3 linked regions of the Xenopus tropicalis genome follow. Each later gene encodes a partner of the first gene's protein in a complex. Links are inferred from orthologs where the notes say so. Each region holds a gene or a part of one and is shown in the gene's direction. Other genes may lie near its edges.

What was found.
Region 2: ppih (region 1) and snrnp40 share a complex: the UniProt entries of both Homo sapiens proteins name them as parts of the U4/U6-U5 tri-snRNP complex. The link is inferred for Xenopus tropicalis from reciprocal best matches to the Homo sapiens genes PPIH and SNRNP40.
Region 3: ppih (region 1) and lsm6 share a complex: the UniProt entries of both Homo sapiens proteins name them as parts of the U4/U6-U5 tri-snRNP complex. The link is inferred for Xenopus tropicalis from reciprocal best matches to the Homo sapiens genes PPIH and LSM6.

What each region holds. Positions count from the first base shown.
Region 1 is NC_030683.2:94,758,895-94,762,652, reverse strand, and holds the start of ppih (peptidyl-prolyl cis-trans isomerase H), read left to right. Parts: upstream 1-981; 5' UTR 982-984; coding exon 985-1,050; intron 1,051-1,926; coding exon 1,927-1,991; intron 1,992-3,245; coding exon 3,246-3,269; intron 3,270-3,758. UniProt on the Homo sapiens protein: PPIase that catalyzes the cis-trans isomerization of proline imidic peptide bonds in oligopeptides and may therefore assist protein folding. Participates in pre-mRNA splicing.
Region 2 is NC_030678.2:79,149,740-79,153,497, forward strand, and holds the start of snrnp40 (U5 small nuclear ribonucleoprotein 40 kDa protein), read left to right. Parts: upstream 1-1,535; 5' UTR 1,536-1,607; coding exon 1,608-1,688; intron 1,689-3,365; coding exon 3,366-3,495; intron 3,496-3,758. UniProt on the Homo sapiens protein: Required for pre-mRNA splicing as component of the activated spliceosome. Component of the U5 small nuclear ribonucleoprotein (snRNP) complex and the U4/U6-U5 tri-snRNP complex, building blocks of the spliceosome.
Region 3 is NC_030677.2:58,331,124-58,334,449, reverse strand, and holds the end of lsm6 (U6 snRNA-associated Sm-like protein LSm6), read left to right. Parts: intron 1-195; coding exon 196-309; intron 310-2,426; coding exon 2,427-2,461; 3' UTR 2,462-2,693; downstream 2,694-3,326. UniProt on the Homo sapiens protein: Plays a role in pre-mRNA splicing as component of the U4/U6-U5 tri-snRNP complex that is involved in spliceosome assembly, and as component of the precatalytic spliceosome (spliceosome B complex).

The sequences.
Region 1 (3,758 bases):
CTTGTGTATGGGGACCTTAACATCAGAACAGTTATCTGTTTTCCTTCTCAATGTATACTCACTCAGCTGTATGGTTGTAAGAGCTGACCAGTAGGCGGCGCTGTTTATAAGCAGATTAAAAGCTTTAAAAAATAATTGATGTAAAATGCAAATGTGACTAGAAGAGGACACTGACAAATTTATATTAACTTTTTAGGTTTTAGATATACTTTATTCCCCAGTCAATTTATTTGTTAGGGCCCAGGTTTCATACCCATATCAGTTTCTTGGGAAACCTGATTTCCCTGTACTTTGAATTTATGGAATAGTTTTGAAGGCCAAACAGCAACAAAGCTGCCAGTGGAGAGGGAGATTTTATGGGAAGTGATATACAAACAATAAAACCTCCCTTCTCCTCACAGAATACAGAGGGGATTTGGTGTGTTCCCTATGTGCAGCAGCCACAGGTAACCATAATTCTACCTACTGCATAAATACACACATACACCCACACAGAAGCAGAGCTCTGTTATAAACGCACTCTCGCCCACACAGCATCACGGCTGTGATCAGGCCACATTGAAATAGGAACTAAAAAAAAAGACGTTTCCGGTGTGGAGCGCTGAGGCGCTTGTATTAGCACTGCTTGATGTGAGAGCAAGGCAGACAGCATGGATATTTACAGATATGGATAGCTTCAACAGAAATAAATTTAATTGCACGGAACATGTGAATGCTACAACTCCACTCCATCCAAAACTAAACCTCTGTACTGCTTATATGTCAATGAGTAAATCAGGTTTAGTCACGCGTAAACGTACTGCTATTGCCACTCTCCCATAATCCCCTGCAAGGTTAGAAGCGCAGGCATATCGCATCGCCCACCAACTTCATGCGAATAAAGCGTGTAAAACAATGCACTGCGCCTGCGCATACAGCCTACAAGCAAGCCGCTTCTGGGATTGAAGCGCCGCCTCTTCTCTTCCGGTTTTGCCCCAGATAGAAATGGCGGTACCGGCTTCCAACGCTAACAATCCCATCGTATTCTTCGATATCAGTATCGGGGGGCAGGTAACACGCGGTGTTAAGTATAATACATTGAGAAAGCCCTGCATTAAATGATGATTCCATACTTACGTACTGAGAAGAATCTCGCCATGCAACACCACCTACAAACTGCAGCTGAGCAAATGGGGCTGCATGGTGTAGTGTAGTATTAGCAAGAAGGCTAAGTGTGTACTGTGACTGAAGGACAGATTTTTATATTCATAGCAGAAATTATTATGTATTTAAATTGTATTCCACGTGTATGGGCCCCACTGTTCTTTCCGATCTCTAAACCCTAAAACTTTACTGATGGTCCTAAACATGCACTCTAAGCCCTGAGAAAATCCCTAAATATGAACTCTAAAATTCTCATGGCATCCCAATTCATGAACCCTGCCCCCAAGGAAGACTGGGCGTGAACCCCAAAAGAGAGCCCAAAACAAAACTTGTAAAGCCACCAGACGGCTGATCAAACCAATTAGGGGAAAAAAGATCATCTTGGAAAGCTCTGAATATTATCCTTAGAATGTATGGAAAAAAGTCAACATGGAAACTAGACATTTTGGAAAATGTGTCAACATGAGGGCTAATTTGTCCATTCCGTGTCTTTGAAAAAGTTGTTCTTTCAAGCAAACTGTTGCTATACCTATTTATTCTGCATTTATTTAAATTAAAGTTATACAGAATATTAAAAACATTGGGTGGCCTAATTTTGTAAGCTTTTAAAGTTTTGTAATTGCTATATTTTATGCTATTCAACTTCAAATTAGTTTGCTTGTGTGTAACTGTGAAGAAAGGCATATATTCTGGGAAAACATGAAGGGTATGATGACTGTAATACCAATGTGCTAATTGTCTTTTCACAAAAAAAACTAATTTAATGTCCATTTACTTTTTCAGGAGGTGGGCCGGATGAAGGTGGAACTTTTTGCAGATATTGTACCAAAAACTGCAGAGAACTTCAGGTGAAGTTGCATGACTTTTGCTGTCAAAACTCTGGAGTAGTTATATAGCAACACTGACAAAGTTTGCAACTGCCCATAACCCAAAGCAACCAATCAGATGTTTGCTGTCATTATTTTAGTCTCACTAGATCAGTAAGACTAAGGGCTCTGGCACACGGGGAGATTAGTCGCCCGCGGCAAAACTCCCTGTTCGCGGGCGACTAATCTCCCCGAGTTGCCTTCCCCTGCCATCCCACCGGCGAACATGTAAGTCGCCGGCGGGATGGCAGATGCGGCGGCGCGATTTCGCGCAAATCGCTGAAAAAGACTTGCGAGTCTTTTTCGGCGATTTGCCGAAATCGCCTCGCCGCGTCTGCCATCCCACCGCCGGCTTACATTGTCGCCGATGGGATGGCAGGGGAAGGCAACTCGGGGAGATTAGTCGCCCGCGAACAGGGAGTTTTGCCGCGGGCGACTCATCTCCCCATGTGCCAGCTATCTGTCGAGCCTACAAAATAGACAGTACTGATAGGATTGTTTTGCCTTCAATAGGGATTAATTATATCTTAGTTAGAATCAAGTGCAAGGTGCTGTTTTATTATTACAGAGAAAAGGGAAATCACTTTATATCATTTGATTTACTTGATTATAATGGAGTTTATAGAAGATGGCTTTCCCTGTAATTCTGATTTTTCTGGATAATGGACTTCTAAATAATGGTTCCTATACCTGTATTATATCTAGCAAACAGTTTTTAAATAGCTTAAAGCTTTACAATTATACTAATAATATATTATCCACATAGAGTTCCTTTCTGTTTTGTTTCTCTCATCACAACTAAGTTCTTTAATATACAGCCCTCTGCATCTAAAAGAATTTGACAGCACTACTTTACACCCCTTGTTTCTTTTTTTCAAACCATCCAAAGGTCCCTTCCCACAGGCATTAATATTCTCACCAGCAATTTACATCAATGCTGGTTGTAAGGAAACTTTGGGCATTTGTCACCTGCACTGAAGGAGATTTAGTTTTAGTGTTTAGAAGTAAAAGTAAATGGAGGATAAAGTAAATTCATGAATTTCCCATTTCTGATGCTTAAAGCTGATGCCAGAATCAACCCATGTGGCATCAGTCTAAGGGGCTATTTCTGATATCAAAAAGAAGTTGTTGTAGACTAATGCATTATGTGCTATGCAGGAATGCATTGTTGTGCAAACAGATTACGTTAGGTAAAGTATCTGCTAATTGTAAATAATTCTTTATTTCTCATTTCAGGCAATTCTGTACTGGCGAATTTAGGTTTGTATCTGTACTTCTTTTGCCCCGATCGGGGGTTTGATCTAAGTAATGGGAGTAGACTGGAATAAATGTTGAAGCACAATTGTTTCCACAAATCCTCATAGTTAAGTTCTAAGAAACTGGCTTCAGTGCTTCTCTGTTTTCATTCATTGTGTAGCAAATTCTGCAAGAAGCTAAACTGTCCATTGGCTGCTTGGTGGGGGATTATGAATATAATAGCAACAATACTTTTTCTGTAGATCAACTAATACTCAAAATAGTACATTGAAATTAAACGTAATAAGCAATATGGCAGCTTTCCTGACAGGAAAGACAATAACTGTTTTAAAATATTAAATAGTGCACCGCAGATATTTTTAGCACCTGTGCTGTAATACTGACATCTGCTTTAAGGGTAGTAGAATATTTACTGCAGATTGCATTTGCAAATTAGTTCTGAGTTTATTTATACCCTCCATTGACGTTCAGGGCTGAATCATCGGATATAGA
Region 2 (3,758 bases), on another chromosome or scaffold:
TATAAAAAAAATCCAGTGTTTGGTGCAGAGAGCAGCATCAGAAGACCCAGTCCAGTTCTCTCCTTAATGCCTGCCATAGTTTCTCATAAGCAAAGAATTAATCCTTCATGCTCCACTACATCTCTTAATAAGTGTCTCTACTCAGAGGTGACCCTTATATAGACCAATGTCCACACCTTAATAAATGACTGCACTTATTACCCTCCCATTCATGTGAATAAGTTTCCAACCTTCTTAGATGTTAAGACAGGACAAAGAACTCATTCTTCTTGTGTCTCAATGTGTGGCACTCAATCTCTTTAGCTGCTAATATTTTATTTATTGCACTGTAATATAAAAGTATTGTAAAAAAAAAAAAAAAAAAAAAAACAATTGCATATAAAATTAGAGTCACATAAAGATATATATACAAATATGTATATTTCGTAAGTCTCTGAATAATGAGATAAATACGCATAACATAGGGCAGGGACACTTTCATTCTTTTTCACTGCAGGTTCAAACCCATACACTGTGTAACTGGGTCACTGTGACAATAGATTTGTAATACCTTATAGTAATCATGGCTGCTACAACACATAGGGCTAAGGAAGTCACCCGAAGTTTCCTCTTAAGGCAACTTAAGGCGACTTCAGAAAATCGTAGTGACGCATATGCCATCCCACCGGCGATTTACATTCCTGCTGGTGGGATGGCATAGCAGGGAGATTAGTTGCCCGCAGCAACAAAGAATTGCTGCGGGGCGACTAATATACCCGTCTGTCACCTCTCTAAATTTACAAATACGCTTGTAAATGTGGCTCTATGTGCAGAATAACATATGGCCTTAATCCTTAGCCTATTTACTAGCGTATAAGCCAATATCACCAGTGATGTTGCACATAGCAAACAATCAGCAATTAAGAGTTTAGCAGTCACCTAAAAGTTAGAAATCCAAAGCAAAGATCTGATTGGTTGCTAAGGGCCACATCACCACCAATGATGTCGACTTACACACTATAATAGATATGCTCCATATAGAAGAGAAAGTGAAGGCATGTCCAGCCTATGAATCCTTCAGTGTGCGCTAACAGCATGTAAGGCACCTAAAGCCAACAGCCCCTTTTACTGGAGTAGACAAAATTACATGTGATGTGCCTAAAAAAATTGAATCACCTGCAGAGAAATATCAAGCTGCGTTAATAATGGTTTATGTAATAGCCTATTAATCTTCTTCTAACTGACTTGTTATATATTTTACCTTTGATGGGCCGCCATTTCGCTGTCTCCTCCCCGGCCGATCACATTTAACCAATTACAACAACTTCTACGTCATTTTCTCTTTCTCCTGTATCAGCCCAGTTGCTTAAACATCCTTATACGCGCAACCCCGCCCATCGTACGTCATTACTAATGGACAAAATCGGCGCAAGCTCTGTTCCGCCCCTTAAAGGCTTTCAAGGTCACATGATTGTCTTAGAGCCAATCACCACTATAATCTTTATCAGGTAGTGACTGCGCAGGATAATTGCGTGAGCATCCTGCGCTGCTGAGTGGGAACGCAAGCGAGTCTTACAGTGTGGCTGGGTTTGTGAGTGTTAGACAAGCTGGAAGGAGTTCTTGGAAACATGATCGAGCAAAACAAGCGGAAGGGAATGGAGTTGGTGCCGGTACAGGCAAAAAAACCGAGGAACGAGTTGGTGGTTTCGGTAAGAATGAAGAATTTGAATGAAATGGTTGGCTTGGATAAGTGTAACCATTCATTCCTTGGGCATATTTGACTTGGACTTTAGGTAAAATTATAGACATAATCTAAATCGTACCATTATTTCCTTTATTAAAAGATTTAGACGGTATAAGAATAAGCTAAAAAGTGTAATCATAAGGCTCTAACGTCTGAACATAGGTAGGGGTATAATTACTTATAGTATTGACTCGTCTTGTGCACCCCACACAGCCATTAAGGACCTTGTGATTACACTTTGCTACGCTAATGGGTTGTGGTTTTTCGTTTATGGGACTTTCTAGTTGTTTTAATGAAGGTAATCAAGTTAAAGTTTTCTTTTTTAAAAAAAAAACTTTATTTCCAAAAGTTATAAATAGTAAATAAAAAGCTAGTATTTTTACTGCTATGGGACTTTCTCTTAACCCATTTTCATGCCTTTTTTCTGAAAGGGGTAGTTCAGTTTTAAAATGTCCTTTAGTATAGTGTAGACAGCATGACCTTAGTCTGTATATCTGTTTCTCATGTTTTAGTTTGATTATTTCTTCTGCGCCTCTAAGGTTTGTTTGTTTAGACCTCAATTCTCCTAGCAACCAAGAAGTAGATTGGAACTCAAAATGGCAAATAATTAGGGAAGGATCTCAATAGACTGATAAACAATAGGCAATATAACAATAATACTAAAACTGAATTTTAAGGGGAGAAAATATGCCAAAGAGTAGTTAAAAGAATACTGACGTGGAACGTGTCAGTATTACTGACAATGCAGCACTTGGTTGGGCTTCCCCCAGCCCAAACACACTTACCCCATCCCAACACTACTACACGCAGAATGTTACTTTAACGAGTTGTCTGTCAGTCACACTGGCCTCCATGCAATCCTTCCAACGGCTGGAGTACAGTTTACATTTGTATTCCTGCCTATAGAATGATGGCACCACCCACAGCCCGCATGTCTGCAGGGAGCATCTCTTTATCCAGACTGCTGGCTTAAAGGAACAGTAACATCAAAAAATTAAAGTGTTTTAAAGTAATTAAAATATAATGTGCTGTTGCTCTGCAAAAAACTGGTGTTTTTGCTACAGAAAAGCTACTATATAAATAAGCTGCTGTGTAACCATGGGGGCAGCCTTTCAAGCTTGAAAAAAGGAGAAAAGGCACAGGTTATGTAGCAGATAACTAGTAGATCAGCCCCATATAATGGGGGTTTATCTGTTATCTGCTAAGTAACCTGTGCCTTTTCTCCTTTGAATGGTTGCCCCCATGGCTACACAGCAACTTACTTATATAAACTATAGTAGTCTTTCTGAGGGAAACACACCAGTTGTAGCAATGCAGGGCAACAGTACATTATATTGTAATTACTTTTATACACTTTCATTTTTTGGTGTTACTGTTCCTTTAACTCTGCCTGTGGTAAGTGTGACTGGGCTGGAGGAGATTTGGGGTAAATCTTCAATAAAAGCAGTAGTGTTGTGCTGCATTATGGGTAATACTGACAAGTTCCTTACTGTTATAGGAATGTGTCAGTGCCCCTTTAAAATAGAATAGAAATGGTAATTTATAGAATACTAAAAATTTAAGGTGAATAAAATATTTCTTTAGGTAATAAATGGAACTGAATCTACTTTGATGTTTAATTCTCTGAACTTGTTGACTGCAGGGTCCCCCAAGATCATCCAGTCTTCAGGCTCCCATCATGCTGCTTTCTGGTCATGAAGGAGAAGTTTATTGCTGCAAATTTCATCCCAATGGTGTAACTTTGTCTTCTGCAGGATTTGACAGACTTATCTGTAAGCAACTTTCACTTGTTTTATACGCTTTGTATTTTGCAGCTGTTTGACTTAGTAGCAGATGTTGTTTTTCATCTGTAGAATCACACAATTAATTGGCCATCTATACGTTACTAATTAAGGATTAATCTGCACCTCCTGTAATTTTGTTATGCTTTTTAGCTCCTTTTTAGCACATTATCACACTATACAAGCTGTAACATTAATTATGAATGTTACAACTGATCAGATTAAGAAAGTTATGCAGGTATGTGTTATTTTAT
Region 3 (3,326 bases), on another chromosome or scaffold:
ACATGTGTTCATTGGGGCCTTTAGTTACCCTTTAAAAAGGCTATTGTTATAGGCTAATTATCTAAGAAAAGCAAATCAAGGAAAATATCCAGAGGTCTTTGCAACAGTTATGTGCTTTTCCATCTATATTTACTACTGATATCTATCTGATTATATTGTTTTTTGTATTTTTCTTTTTATCTACACCACATATAGGTGTTCTGGCATGTTTAGATGGTTACATGAATATTGCTTTGGAACAAACAGAAGAGTATGTGAATGGACAGCTGAAGAACAAGTATGGGGATGCATTTATCCGAGGAAATAATGGTAATAATGGTGGTTCAAAAGAATTTGAGTCCTGCTTTTTAAATATATAAAAAAATGTTTTAAATGTAATTGCTCAGTAAAAAGTGTGATGTGGAACATTGCTATTGAACCCTGAAAGAAACTCTGTAACTGGCCAGGCATTTCTTCAGTGTAATAAAACTGCTGTACACGCAGTAGCACCCAGTAAACCTGTTATTCCTTAGTTGCACCTTTTAATTTAAAGACTTGTATTCCCTTTGATAGCTGTAAAATCAACCAGAATAACCTTCAATTTTGTTTGTGACCCTCAAATCCCAAGGACAAATACTTGTTATTGGGCTGTTAAGTAACCGTTCCTACTTTTTTATATTTAAAAAGATTGCTGGATATTTATTATACACATATGAAGCCTGCATCTCACAGATTTGCATTTTGTGTCCAGTACTCCCTAATGCTTTCTTAGATGCGATCTCTGGGAAAGCAGCATAAGAATAGTACAGTAAAAATACTGGCTTGTTGTGTGTTTGGTTTAGTAAGGTCTAATATAAACACATAAAATGGAACACCTTTTCACTTATTTAATAGTTTTATGACCTAAAAAGGTTATAGCTTTAAGTCAAACAATTCTTTGCTTTTATACTCTATAGAGTTTACAGTTTGGAGTTTAATTCTAACTTTAATATGTACTTGGGTATTTTTTTGCTGAAACCTGGCCTGCTGTGTCTCATTGGCTGTAAGGCAAACTTGCTGGTAGCACAGGTTCTGGCAGTTCTTGATTTGAAAATGCTGTATTGTCTGTATTGTATTGCATTTTTTGTGATTATTTATTTCAGGTGGACCCTGGTAGTCAATCAGAAACAGCAGTTGTAGCTTAAGGTGCTACTTCACTAGCTAAAAAAAAACCCTGGCAGATGAACACCTTAAGGGTGAAGACACACAAAGCTACTTAGTAGCAGCTACTTGTCATGGCTACTTAACGCCAAAATATACCCTGCCATAGACAATACTGAGAATTTCCTTTGCTAAAACATACGTAGAGACAATTATCTGTAAATGATCAGTATTGTCTATTTTTGTAACTGCTACTAGTAGCTCAGTGTGTCTTCACCCTTAATCATAGAGGAACAGATTACATTTTCACTCATCCATCCCTTTTCTGCAGATCAGGAAGCTACTGCTGGCTTCCTGTTGAAATCCAGTGCTTTGTTAACCTGAAAGATAATGACTAGAACTCTATACACTGCATAGTATTGATACTTTGTCAGCCAGTGTTTGTAGTGTATGGAAAATACATTTTCAATATAAGATGTATCTATCTGAAATAACAAAACTTTCTAAATATAATCATGTAAAAATTGTCATGTTTGTGAAATAACCAAGTTACTCTTCACTCCCCCACTCATCACCTGCCTTTCTTTATTCTCTCTTCATGCAGTAGGTGGAGTCAGGTTTTGATTGACAGGTCTAATATGTTCTTTGGGGTGGTTGCACCCTTTCCTTAGAAGAGGTATTCAAGCTGACTCTTCCAAAAGTAACACACGTCTGCTAGTAAAGAGGCCCCCCCCCCCCCCCCAAAAAAAAAGGTGTTAGACCTAACTGCCTTCTCTGACTTCTGCATAAAGAAAAGAGGTTGCTGAGAGGGGCAGAGTGAAAAGTAACATGATTATTTCCGAATTTTAATTTACGTTAAGAAAGTTATCCTATTAATGATATAAAGGGTGTTTTCTCATCATGGGTATACATGGGCCCCAAGATGGCTTCCCTCACCAGGAACTCTGGTTCGGGCATCATAGCACTTACAAGTGGATATTTCTTGTGCAATACTGTTTTTTCCTCTAACTGGAATGCAGACTGTATTAGACATCTACGAATAAAATTTGTATTATAGACATAGTTTAAAAACATTCTATACCACACAAAATACATACCTTTATATAAATGTCCCACCTACAGTTGAATCCTTAAGTTGACATACACCTATGGTAAAGATGACTTTGCTAGTATTTAGTTAAAACATCTTTAGCATAGGTGTATTTAACCTTTAGGTCTTAACTGTATTTGTGGCTGAATTGATAGAATTGCAGAAAAACAAGACATGGAAGTGATTGTTTATGTGAATTTTTTTTTTCTCTTTGCAGTTTTGTATATTAGCACTCAGAAGAGGAGGATGTGACCTGTGTTTTTTTTAATTTACTTTTCATTTTTAATTATATTATGTTCTTTGCATTAAGAGCGCAGCATTTTGGACTTCAGAAGATCAAGGTCTATACATTTATGTTTGAGACTTAAGATGAAGTTGCATTGCTAAATACATTTTGAAAAGAAAAACACTTTTTCATAAAGTTTGATAAACATTTTGGTTTATGATGATCTGTACTGCTGTAAAATAAACAACAGTCATGAAATTCAGTTTTGTTTTCATTATACAAGAAACTAATGTTTTTTTATAATAAAAAAAAATGCAAATATAACATTTAGGTTTGTATCAGAAATATCCTGAATTGTACTGGGGTTTCCCACTGTTTAGCTGTGAATTTGATGCCCAGTATTATGGGAGCAGCTTAGATACAAATAGTGCCATTCACTAGTTACCAGTTGTGTCTGCTATTGGGGGAATCCTGTGCCAGAATATTCCGCCAGACTGGACACTATAATAAAGTAATGCTGTTTTTCAGTCATTGCAGTATTGCAGGAACAGCTCGAGGGGCAAATGGTGATTAAGGAGTACAAAGCAAGCATATAAAAAATATTCACCATCTTTTTTTTAAGTCCTGAGAGTACTACCTTCTAGGGAGATATGTATACACAAAAACAGAACTGCTCCCTTAAATTTTATAGGCAGTTACACTTCATACAGGTCACTAGAACAATACTGTATCTTTCCCTACAGTCTTATTTTTTTTTTTTTGGGGGGGAGGGGTTTGATAATTTTCCTACTCTTCATACAGGCACCCTGTACTCATGGCTGTTGTGACCCTTTTTTTAAAGGCTTTATTTACCTTTGAGTTAATTTTCATTATGATGTTGACTAATGTTCT